Nothobranchius furzeri: one gene and its partners. The protein of the gene in region 2 interacts with the protein of the main gene of each other region in a biochemical or structural test. Links are inferred from orthologs where the notes say so. Each region holds a gene or a part of one and is shown on either strand. Other genes may lie near its edges.

Region 1 (3,650 bases), on a different chromosome or scaffold from region 2:
CATCCACCCTGCTCTACCTTCCTGCTCCAGTATCATCTTTTTGTTTATGCTGTTGTCACCTTTGTCTACAGCTTTGCTCTTTTAATGCTGCAGCATATGAGACACTTTCACAGCACAGCAAAAAATGTACTAATGCCTTTGTGTGAGTGTGTGTGTGTGTGTGTGTGTGTGTGTGTGTGTGTGTGTGTGTGGTTGAGATAAACAAGAGTGAGTTGTTTTCTGGGACTACCGCATTCATGTTATACAGCTGACCTTTGTGTTGCAGGACACGCACAGACACGTTCTCTTTCTTTAATCTCCAGCTGATGATGGCAGTCTGCATGTTGTGAGTTAGTTGCCATAGCAACAGATGACTGTTGACATCAGACACCAGCGGGGTGTCTTTTGGGTTATGTTGTGTGTGTGTGTGTGTGTGTGTGTGTGTGTGTGTGTGTGTGTGTGTGTGTGTGTGAACTTAACTCTAGTAAACTGACTGCATATTTTTATGCAATCATGCAAATCTAAATGTAATCTAAAGATTATTTCTGAACCCTCCTCTTTCTCTGACATGTTGCACATTCTGTCACACGTTTGCATTTAAACCTTTCCGTTTCTTTTGTCATCTCATCTCTAATTTGTGCTCTGTAATCATGCATAATCTGTAGATTTGCACCATTAGTGTGTTTTTAGTTAACCCCCCCCCCCCCCTTCTTTTATCAGGATGGGCTCATGCTGTCGGGGGAAGGAGAGAAATGCCGGCTGTTGAAGGAGGCTCTGCCGAGACTGGAAGGACTAAAAGCAGAGTCCAGAATCCTTTATCTTTAATATTCTCTGAGCCAGATAATTCCCTTCTGTTATCACAATATCAAAATGTCTTTTAGATTTTTACTTTCAATTATTGTTAGGACCAGTCATTTTCTTTGAAATCCTGGTTTGATATTTTTGCTCATTTGCTAACATCAAAATTGGTTCAAATACTGTGAGGGAGGGACTGGGTTGAGAATGCTTTCAGAAATATAAATGATTGTTTATTTTTATCACTTTACAAAATGCAATGTGAGTGAGTCCAAATATGCAGCCAAAGTCATTAAGAACTATCTTCAACATAAAGAATAACAGGAAGTCCTGGTAGTGATGGTCTGGCCCACACATATTCCAGATCTCAACGTCATAGAGTGTGTCTGGGATTATATGAATAGACAGAAGGATGTGAAGAAGCCTACATCCACAGAAGATCTGGGGTTAGTTCTCCAAGATGTCTGGAACAACCTACTCGCTAAGTTCATTTAACAGCAGAATAATCTTGTATTATAAAATTAATCATAGAATAATCTTGTACACCAAAAATTCATGATATCAAGTCTCAACCCATTGTTGCCATTTATATATTGATAATCACACCAGTGCTGAAATTCAGCAACAACGCACGACCTGTGAGTGTGATATTGTTTATATACAACAGTTCTACCTGCACATTTTATTTTTATAACAACAATAAGCAACAACAGATTATGATTTGTTCATTCATTTAATCATTTATCAGGCTTTGCCTACACAAATAGTCCCAACACGAAATGAAGACTCAGACAAGGCTGTTGCTAGGCAACACAAACATTTTCTACAACAACGGTTAGAACGCTTGTGCACATCGGAGTGATACTTTTTGTAAACAGTCCCAGTGTTGTTATAGTCCAATATCAGCTCTCTTGGACAGTCTCTTGACCAATCAAATCACTCGGTCGCAACTAACTGTTGTATAATTGAAGGCATAGCATAGTAACTTCATCAAGAATTGGCTGACTACACGACAGACGATGTAGATGTCATTTTGCACAGCTGCATCGTGTTCTTGTGACCTGTAGCTGCGGATTACTACAGTGCTTTGTCATGTCGGCTCCTGTAATTCTTTGTTTGTGTTAGTTATTATTTTCATTTTTAGTCAATATGATTATTGAGGTCACAAATAAAATTAGGATAAATATTGAGAAATTTTAATAACTCTTTAACATAAAATGCTAGCTGTTACCATTCACGTACATTGTTTATGCTAAGATAACCCTGTCAGAATACTGCCAGATTAGGAGAATGAGTGTTACAAAATGCTTTTTCCTACTTATCTAACTCTGGAGAATATGGTGACACAAAATTTCACTTTGGGGTGGAATACCCCTTTTAAGACAGTGTTTATCAATTCTGGTGCTCTACATGTTTTCTATGTTGCCTTTTCAAACACCAGTGTTTCCCTGCTTCCACACACACCTGACTTAAATGAGTGGGTGATTAACAGGCATCTGCAGCACTTGATGTCTTCATGAGGAGCCAATGCAAATATTTAAATCAGGTGCACGTATGGAAAACATGCAGGACATGGGGTCCTGAGGACTGGAATTGAGAAACACTGATTTAAAAATAATTTTTTTTAGAAAATAGTACAAATAATGTTGCGTTCAAATCTGTGTTAATCCAGAGGGAAATTTTAAAAACAAGACAAATACTTAAAGGATTATAAGACTTGAGCCAACAGAAGCACATGCTCGTATCGTGGGATTGCCTCCGGATCGTCACCCTGATCATAAAACGCATGCATGAGTTAACATTACAGCAGCAAAGTAAATTAATTAAAATGCCAAAAGACAAATTTGCTGACTTGCTATAATCTTAGATCACATTAGAACGTTTAAATAAGCTACTAGAGGTATTACTTTTTCTACTTGGAGATAAGTTCAGACACTGGCTGCCAGTAGAGACTTAGGACATGATTAACTGAGCAATTAAGACTCTTAATTAAATGTGGGGCTGTGCTTTCATGTTCATAATTCTGGCTCTGAGCAGTTTTCATCATAACAGAAAAGAGAAGAAAAGACAGGCACTACTTAATTATGTCTTTACATAAAACAGTATTAATAACTTTATGCAAAGTGGTTCTCATACATACTTCAGGCTTTCCTCGGCAGTCTCCAGTGTCACTCTCCTTTTAAAAGCTTCTAGGATCAGTGTTGCTTTTCCTTAATTCTTCATCTAGATTGGGAGGAGATGTTGGAGGGTTGTAGTCATCTGTTGTCAGCTGTTAAGGGTGATGTCCCTGATGAGAACCTCTACAAGCTGAGGATTACAGACATGGCTCTAGACGCGTCTGTTCACTTGGGACGCTGGGAGGAGGCTTTGAGATACGGCGTGAGGACTCTTCCAGCGTACAGGTAGGTAGTTTTTTTTATCTTAATCTCAGACAGGCGACTCTCACAGGATTCCCCCAAAAAAGATATTAGATTAAATACACTTGAATCCCTGGATTTGTGGAAGTTTTTCAGGTTTTATTGGATTAATCGTTAAAAAATACATCATTCACCCTTGTAAATACTTGGATGTTTTGATCATATAAGTTAATTTCTTATCTGTGCAGTTGCATGCTTCACTAACCATTTGTAGATGAATTGAAATGTAAATCTGCAGCAGCACAAAGAAGCAATCGCCCAAATGATGGACGGTTTCACGATTACTCAAGGACGGCTGATGTTTGACGAGTCAGTATTGTGCTTATTTACAACACCTCCTGTCACACTTTGTTTTCAGTCTTTGTGTTTAATTACACAAAAAAATCAATCCTGGATTTTTCATGTAAAAAAAATAAAAAGTATCATTGCTGAAAACTTGAGTCACCAAATATGTCAATT
Region 2 (4,412 bases):
CGTAGATGTTAATCTTATTATAACAAGTCCATCAGAATTCCTGAGTGTGTTAGCAAAGCTTCCAGCTTTGTACCTCATTGTTGGTGTAATGAAGGTCCATCGTCTGACCAAAAGCCACTTTAGCTTTGGCCTTCAGATCTTCCAGCTTGACGGGTCGAGGAAACTGTAAGATCCTGCAGAGAAGATGAGAAGTCAGAAGGCTGCAGCTGCTGCTGGTCTGAAGGAACAGCATTAGAGAACAAATGTTTACCTTTTCTCTCCTTTAAATTCAAACTTCACTCTCACATCATTCTGTGGAGACAAAGTCACGTTGAGCATAAAAACCATTGGGACGACGACGTGGGTTTTATTTTGAGATCTCAGAAACATGTTTGCTTTGTTGAGCTTTTCTCACACTTCATGTCCAAATCACATTTCTGTGGTTACCTGGTTCTTGGGCGAGGAGGCTTTGGGTTTGCCTAGGTCCGACAGGAAGGTAGCAGGGCGGCTGGAGCGTTGCAGTTCGGCCAAGTCCTGCATGATGGAGTTCAGGGCCTCCTGCTCATCTGCAAAGATAAATTAATCGGGTTTACAGATTATCCACAGCAACAAGTGACACTTTGATCATTATGCTAACAATCGCAAACCTAAAAGATAAAAACAAATGAGCCCCAGCAGGAGCTCATGACTCGTCGCTTAAACAGATGTCATAATAGAAAAAGAGACATTGTTTACAGAAAAAAAAGATTATTTAAGTTTTTAGACAAAAGACTCAGCTGGCTCTCTGCCAGCTGTAACATGATCACAAAGCTCGCACACATACCCATCATCATGGCACGGCAATTGACCCAGGAGGCCAGGATAGAAGACTCTCCCATCAAAGGGATTCCTTTCTCCTGAAACAGCAACACAACTGGATAAATAATAGCATTCAGTTTAATGAAGACGCAAGTTAGAAAGCATGGAGCTGCTGACTGATCCGCAGATCTGTAATTGGTGAGCCAGAGGCAGAAAGAAAATGCATAAATGGGGATTATTGGAAATGTTTGCTCTGATGTCTTTTAAGGGAACAAAATCTTGTGGAAAATTGTTTTGTTCCTATGATCCAATTCAGGAATGACACTGAAACTGGCTCATCGTATGCGTCACTTGGTTTGATTTTTGCAGAACCAAAAATCCTTATTTCTCAACAAATATGGGGGTGAAGTTACTTTTTTGGTTGCCTTTAAATGCAGTGAGCATTCTTGTCTTCTTTTATTTCATCCTGTTATGAGCTCATTTTTTTACACCCTAACTCACCTGTAGAGTCCAAGAAGCTCTACTGTTGCTTATTTTGGAGGTGTGTTTGCAAAAAGCAACAAGAAACATAACATGCTTTATGGAAACTATTCTTAACATGGACTTCAGAGGTTTTCTGGCTTTTTGGCCGTTTTTATTACCAAACAGCTTATAATACTACATCTGCAGCTACCTGCTTTATAATAAATACAGTTTCATTGTGTTCAAAGATGTATGGAAACCTCTGTAGGTTCACCTGAACACAAGTTTCACAGACAATTATAGTGTTGGCAATTCTTCACTAAAGTGGCATCATTAACACAGAAGCTGGCTGGTGTTGACGCAAAAACAAAACACAAACCTGTAATTTTAAATCAGTTAAAACGTTTAAGGAACGGCAGATGCACTAATATTCCAACTAGAAATACACACAGGTATTATTTCTCAGAATATTAAGAATATTGCCTTAATTACTTTATGGTATTGTTGTTATTAAAGCCTTTAGAAGATAACTGTATTTGTAACCCATAAGCCCCGGAAGTTAACAACTGTTGCTAGCTAATTTTACATTACGACTCATGCCAGGATAACATTTCAAAATAGCTGCTATCTTGACATGAAATTCTTGAAAAATACAATTTGTTGTTTAAGCAGCAGGTTTTGGGGGATGAAATGGTAATGACTCCACTGTTAGCTGTCAGGCAAGGGAAGTTATCAGGCTAATCAAACGCTAAAGCTAACTCCTAGCCGCTGGGCTAACCGAGCTAACCAGCACTCGCCCGCGCTGCACAATTATTGGAACAGTTCATGAACGAAGTGAGATTGTTTTTGTCTTCAGCCTAATCCCACCTGATGAATAATTTAATCTCGGTTTATTTCCTCAACCACAGGACCGGTGACAGGAGCCCCGGGCCCTGTGGAGAGCCGCTGGAGGAAGCAGAAGTTTGTCAGTCCGCTGTCAACTTCACTCGAGTCTTGCTGGGCCACGACGACGAGGCCCGGTAGCTGTTGGTTCAGCCGCTTCGTCTCTCCAGGAGGGGAAGTGACAGGGTGATATTTATTATGTTCGGCACGCTACACTCCAGTGCGACAGTTCAAAGGCTAATTCAATCCACAGATCTCATTTTGTTGTGCTACACAGCCTGCTTAACTGTACCTTGCTCGATGCTGACCCCTAGTTTCATCGAGCTAACATGTACGATTAAAAACACACCGGAAATAATTACGCCGTGTTTATAAAATAAAAGCAGCACGTCTCGTGGTGGAAGGCAAAGTGGCGTTCTGTGTTTTATTTTGAAACAAATGTTAACCGAAAGTACTTTTATTTTGAGAAGCTTAACTAGTGTTAACCCCTAACCTCACTGAGGGTCCAACAGAAACATCATACAAACATGACAAGTAAAAATATTTATTAGATTTTTGAGCATTTGTTTGGAGCTTCATTTCAGTTCCAATTTATTAAATAAGTTGTAAACACAGTGTTTTATAGTATAAATTAAGCTTCCGTTTAGACAAGTCACATTTCCTCATAATTTAAATTCAAAGCAAACGATACTCAAGGTCAATTCAGGTCATTCAAATGCCATCCAGTGTGACTTGCTGTTCCAAACACACTAGGCCCACTCATTATCTGATTCATTCCAGTGACTTTTTTTCCGGAACTGCGCTGCTCTGGGTGGCTGCATGTTGGAGTAGCTCTGTTGACTATATGTAAGTTTAGCCTTTTCTTTAGCATTTTTTCTTCTAGTTTCTCAAGAAAAACTATTTTTTGGACACTTTACTTTTCTGTTTCTGGTGCTGTGAAGCTTGGAGGATTTTTACTGCTATTTTTTTTAGCTTTTTTCACTTTTTGAGCATTTGTTATGATGTGTAACCATGGCAACAAGCTGGTTTACAATCGGGAGCAGCTGATTAACATTGGAAAGGCTGAAATAATACCTCAACTGAAGCCACAAATCCCAAATGAGCTAAAATGCAAGAAGCGTGGGTGCAGAGCGTGAGCAAAACGGAGACACAGAGAGAGAGGAAATTCAAACCATCTCTTCCATCGATCATAATGGGCAATGTGAGATCACTGGTCAACAAGATGGAGGAACTCCAAGCCCTTTCAAGGACTCAGCCAGAGTTTCGGCTGTTCGGGAACCGCTGGAGGAGATAATGCAAAGAAGGATTCTCCAGAGAATCAAGAAAATTATGGACAACCCTGAGCGTTCTCTTCACAAGACTGTCCGACAACGGAAGAGTGTCTTCAGTCAGAGGCTTCTTCAGTTTCGCTGCAACACTGACCGCTACTGGAGATCCGTCCTGCCAACAGCCATTGTAATATACAACAAATCTTTGATGGCTTGATTATTATTATTATTCTGATCTACTACAGCAATCAATTTCCCTCTGGGATTAATAAAGTATTTTTGAATTGAATTGAATTGATTACATGCTGGTCCAAGTTCATTCAGTAGTGATTAACTTGACCCCTATTAATTCCAATTTAGTTCAGTTATTTGCAGTCAAATCCAGTCATGTTATGATAAAATTTAAATTGTTTCATTAAACACTATGTGTAAATGTGCATTCAACGCATAATTTTACCACTTTATATTCCCAAACAGCAAAATTCTGCTGCAAGAAGAACAATTCGTTTGATTATCTTTGGTGTGTTCTTGCTGTGTTGAAATTCTAATTCCATCTTTTAGTTTTTTTAAACACAGAAAGGTTTTATTTACCTGGGTTTTGCAGCCGCAAACGAAACGTTGCAGGTAAATAAAATCTTTCTGTGTTTTAAAAAGAACTAAAAGATGGAATTAATTTGATCACATTTTAAACACACCGCTCACTTCAGATCAATAACACTAAAACTGTGTCTTGCGATGGGATCAACATATTAACGTGCGCCTCATTGTATGATTTTTCAGATAAATGCAGTAATAATGATTATTAGACTTTTTTATTCATTGCAATTTGTTTGAATTTACATGAGCAAATGATTATAATTACTTTTAGACAATGATTGCTACTTCTGATAGTTTGAACATTTTATCTAAATATTATTTAAAAATATTTGTTGTTCACTGCTTTCATTAGAAGCGCAACAACAGCATAAAAATATAAAAAATACTATTGTTTCTCTAATCTGAAGGGAGTTTTATTGTGAAAAA
Region 3 (4,207 bases), on a different chromosome or scaffold from region 2:
CCTCTTTAAAACCACTAACAAGCATAAACAATAAGGAAAATAATCTTCTAAACAATCCTATTATATTATTATATTATTATAATCCAATTTAGAACTCAAATGAAAAAGGCATAAGTGCAGAACTTGAGTAACCCTTTCCAATCAAGCATGATTTATTGTCTTTGGGCTAGTTTTTGAGCAACAGGCGTTCTGAATTTAAGCATTAGATGTTGGCATGCCTGACAATGAAAAATGTTCTTTCCACACAACTCTGACCTGTAAGGTCCAAACCTAAAGACAAAACATGCCATTTTCACACAGATTACCCCTTTTCAAAGCAGCCGTATGCAAACCAACTCTAAAATCAGCTGGTTCACACCTGTCGGAAAAAGTGGACTGATCATACCTAACATCATAATAATGATGATTCAACAAAAACCTGACTGGAGTGGGTTTTAGAATACCAAGTGATCGTTTATGAAGTTATTGTTATACCACAGGTAGTTTCTGAGTAAAGTTACAGCTAAGCTAAACTTGATGAGGCACATTCAAACTATGCTGTTTATGTTTTCTTAGAAAATATGTATCTGTGAAGATGATCATAACATAACAGAGATAGAAAATGTATCTTCTCCATTCTAAATTATAAGAATACCTGTGAACCCCCACCCCCTAAAAAAATCCCTAACGATTTACTGGAAATGCATGGGGCAGACCAATGCTCGTGTTTTATTTGACTACTACGGCAACTTTTAGTTTGAATCAAAAAGTTGACATGCATAATCACCAATATGGAAAATTATCTCAGGTTGATATATGACTGTTAAAGAGTATAGTTATTTTATGTATCCCATTAGCTTTCACTGGCATTTATTTCTGTTGGTGACAGATGCAGGTTGTATTATCAGTCCCTACCCTGTGCCTTGAGTTTCTCTGCTCCAACACCAGGTCCATCGGTTGAATCACCTCTTCAGCAGCTCTGTAACCTTTCAATTACTTGCTGATACAATCAGGTGAGAGAGCAGATAAACCTCAGATAAACATGGAGGCCCTCAAAACAAGAGATGACCGCCACTGTCCTAACAATCCTGATTAAAAATGGTCACTAATATTGTAGGTATAAGATTATGACCTTCAGACATTGTTTGAGGTGCATGATGGGATTACATTAAAATTTTAAATGAACGCTTTTTGCTGGTTACTGACCATATTTAGGCAACCCTAAAGTATGTTGGCAGTTGATAGTAGACGGCATGTTTCTGTGAAACACCCACGTGGGCGTACTTTGATCATGTGACTGAAGAGGCGGGGCCAAATGTTCTAGGTTCCCAGATTCCTCCCTTTGCTTTCGCTTCCTCATAGTTTTTATAAAACAAACTGAGCTCTTTAATCATCCTATTCTGCTCCAGGTCAAGTTCACACTAAAGACAGACTAAAGTTACAAGCTGAAGACCGGAACCAAAAGGGGCGCGTGAAGGTAAATACCGTAGTTTTCCGGCTACGGTCGATTTAGGCAACTGCGCAAATTAGCAAACAAGCTAACGAAGCTAGCTAACTGACACTTTAGCAAACTGTCAAAACCCAAAGTCACTATCTCGACATTACGCACCTACATCAAAGCAGCTGATGTGTTTATTTTTAGAATGCAGGCTTATTGAAATGCGTGTCCTTGAATAATATAGGCTAGTTTTTAGCTTTTGGTAACTCGAGCATCCACGTTTAAGCAAGGGTCACCAGCATAGAGAGCTACTTCATGTGTACTGAGCCACATTAAGGGCTACCAGGATTCTACAGTTCTGACATTTGAACTGGAATAGATCAGAGTTAAACCAAACTTCATTTATAATAAATATATTTTATTTATTTGGAAGGATTTGTAGTTTTAAAATCAATATTGATGCATTTGTAATTAAAAAAGAAGGCTGCAGATTTGTATTTCGTTTTAGATATTTGCCATTTAAAGAAGTGGCTTTATATTATGCCAGGAGGCACCATGGTGCAGTATCGTAAATTGTGCATGTTTGTCATACGGTTAAACACACATTAAGTTGTGACACACTCGTGATCATGGTGACTACTTTTTTTTTTTATAAAGATTGCCAACAACAGTGCAAAGATCAAAAGCTGATCCTCATCAATAAAGCATCTCAGATAAAATCATACTAGATGTTACAGTTTTAGGACTAAGCCTCCACCATGTAGTGGGCTTTCTGAGTATTTGGGTTGTGAGAACACATTTTCCATGTGCCAGTGTAGAGGTGGCAAAACTATTCCCCCCATCCTGCTTTCTTAGCTGGCGTGCTTTGATCTTGGGTCATTAGCCCGTGTACAGCATGTACTGTGACTCCTTATTACAGCAAATACTTTATCAGTGTTTGTCACTGTTGTGTATAATCTATTTAGGAATGCTGCTTTAGTGTAGATTGTATCAGGTTACGCCCTTTGCACCGCCTTTCCTGTTCCCATGCCTCACACAGAGTATCCAGCACCAGCATGTGATTATAGCCTGGCTGCCTCTCCCAAAGGCTTAGCCTGGATGCTCAAACCAGCTCCCTGTTGTTTTAATTCAAGTACATTTAGGACTTTTGACTAACCTTCAAATCTGCTTGTCTTTCTCCTCAGACTTCATACATTCAGTAGCTGTATCTATCCAGGAAGGTCCTAGTTCAATTATGTGTGATAATGAAGAAAATGAGCATCTGGAATCAGATGGTGCTATGGATTTTTCATTGCTCAACAATCGCCTGAACTCCTTCCGCCGCTCCATCCTGGCTGAGCAAGTTCCAGCTGAACGACTGGCACGAGCAGGCTTCTACTTCACCGGCAACGCAGACCGCGTCCGCTGTTTCAGCTGCAAGAAGACTGTGGAGAACTGGACCAGCGATGACACGCCTGTGGAGCGGCACAAGGAGGTAGATCATGGATTCAAAGTGTTGAACGATTGTGACTTTTTGTTCTGCTTTAGAGGTTTAAATAATGATCTCTCTTCCTGGTACAGGTTTCTCCAACGTGCTTGTTTCTCAAATGCTGCCACCGAACCAGTTTCAACCCGAGCTTTCATAACCCGCTCACTAATGGCTACAACGAGGCTGCAGAACACATGGAGTATCGTTTGTTAACTGGAGCCGTGACTGACGACACCATGTACCCTAAAGCCCCTCAGATGGCGTCTGAGGAAGCCCGCCTTCAGACCTTTTCCTCGTGGCCCGTTGATTCTCTTATGAGACCCAGAGACCTGGCACAAGCTGGTTTCTTTTATTTGATGAATGCTGACCGAGTGCGGTGTTTCTGTTGTGGTGGCGAGCTGAGTGACTGGGAACCAGAAGACAATGCTTGGAGTGAACATTCCAAACATTATCCAAACTGCTTCTTCATACTTGGGCATGATGTGGGGAATGTGCCGCTTCAGGAGAGCAGTTCTCAGGTCTCCATGGAGAGTTTTGAGGGGAGACTTGGCAGCTTTGCTGGTCTCCAGCTCCCTGTTGACCACAAGAGTCTCGCCACGGCGGGCTTCTACAGCTTAGGTACAGCGCCATCGTCATCTGTGGACAAAACTCATACAAAAATGAGTCACTGTTATATCGTTGTTCTGATTTTGTTTTGACACATCTGATTTGTGCTTACAGGAATGGGAGATAGGGTGATGTGTTTCAGTTGTGGTGGGAGTTTGAAAGGTTGGCAGCCTGGGGAAGACCCCTGGGAACAACACGCCAAATACTACCCAGGGTTAGAGGAAACATCTGTCTTTTCTTGGCAATAAAAATTCATTATGGAGACATTTTTATTTATGCTGCTGTAACTTTCTTCCCCATTAGATGCAGCTTCTTGTTGGCAGAAAAAGGAGTAGAATTTGTCAACAGCATCCAACTAAATGGACCCAAACAAAGTAGAGCTGTAAGCAATCTCCTTCTTTTTTTCTTGCTATTGTGATTATATGACAAACCATAGCTTGTAACTTTACCTGTCAATCTGATTCCCAAGTCCCTTTATTTATAAAAAATAAACAATGAAAAGGTTTGAATCAGCTGGAATTGTGTTTTAAATCATTTTACTTGTATTTGGTGTGTTTTAGTGAACTTTATGGAACATAAGGAACCAAATGTACTTCTCTTTAGGTCTCGGAAAATGACTGTGATGCCCTGAATCATTAGTAAATTTGGTTTGTTCAAGCTGGAAAATAATAACCTGTTTTTGCTTCCAGGTCTCAAATCCTCAGAATGGGCTTTTG

What was found.
Region 1: the proteins of map3k2 (region 2) and smyd3 are reported together in a solved structure, tested with the Homo sapiens proteins (2 studies listed by BioGRID and IntAct, with this or other methods). The link is inferred for Nothobranchius furzeri from reciprocal best matches to the Homo sapiens genes MAP3K2 and SMYD3.
Region 3: of the proteins of map3k2 (region 2) and xiap, one has a biochemical effect on the other in vitro, tested with the Homo sapiens proteins (2 studies listed by BioGRID, with this or other methods). The link is inferred for Nothobranchius furzeri from reciprocal best matches to the Homo sapiens genes MAP3K2 and XIAP.

The regions. Positions count from the first base shown.
Region 1 is NC_091749.1:34,481,688-34,485,337, reverse strand, and holds part of smyd3 (histone-lysine N-methyltransferase SMYD3), read left to right. Parts: intron 1-699; coding exon 700-787; intron 788-3,001; coding exon 3,002-3,176; intron 3,177-3,650. UniProt on the Homo sapiens protein: Histone methyltransferase. Specifically methylates 'Lys-4' of histone H3, inducing di- and tri-methylation, but not monomethylation. Also methylates 'Lys-5' of histone H4.
Region 2 is NC_091743.1:83,211,031-83,215,442, forward strand, and holds the start of map3k2 (mitogen-activated protein kinase kinase kinase 2), read right to left. Parts: upstream 2,947-4,412; 5' UTR 2,107-2,946; intron 876-2,106; 5' UTR 858-875; coding exon 803-857; intron 546-802; coding exon 427-545; intron 292-426; coding exon 251-291; intron 174-250; coding exon 74-173; intron 1-73. UniProt on the Homo sapiens protein: Component of a protein kinase signal transduction cascade. Regulates the JNK and ERK5 pathways by phosphorylating and activating MAP2K5 and MAP2K7. Plays a role in caveolae kiss-and-run dynamics.
Region 3 is NC_091741.1:25,549,310-25,553,516, forward strand, and holds the start of xiap (E3 ubiquitin-protein ligase XIAP), read left to right. Parts: upstream 1-1,297; 5' UTR 1,298-1,456; intron 1,457-2,601; 5' UTR 2,602-2,651; coding exon 2,652-2,891; intron 2,892-2,977; coding exon 2,978-3,503; intron 3,504-3,605; coding exon 3,606-3,705; intron 3,706-3,794; coding exon 3,795-3,873; intron 3,874-4,180; coding exon 4,181-4,207.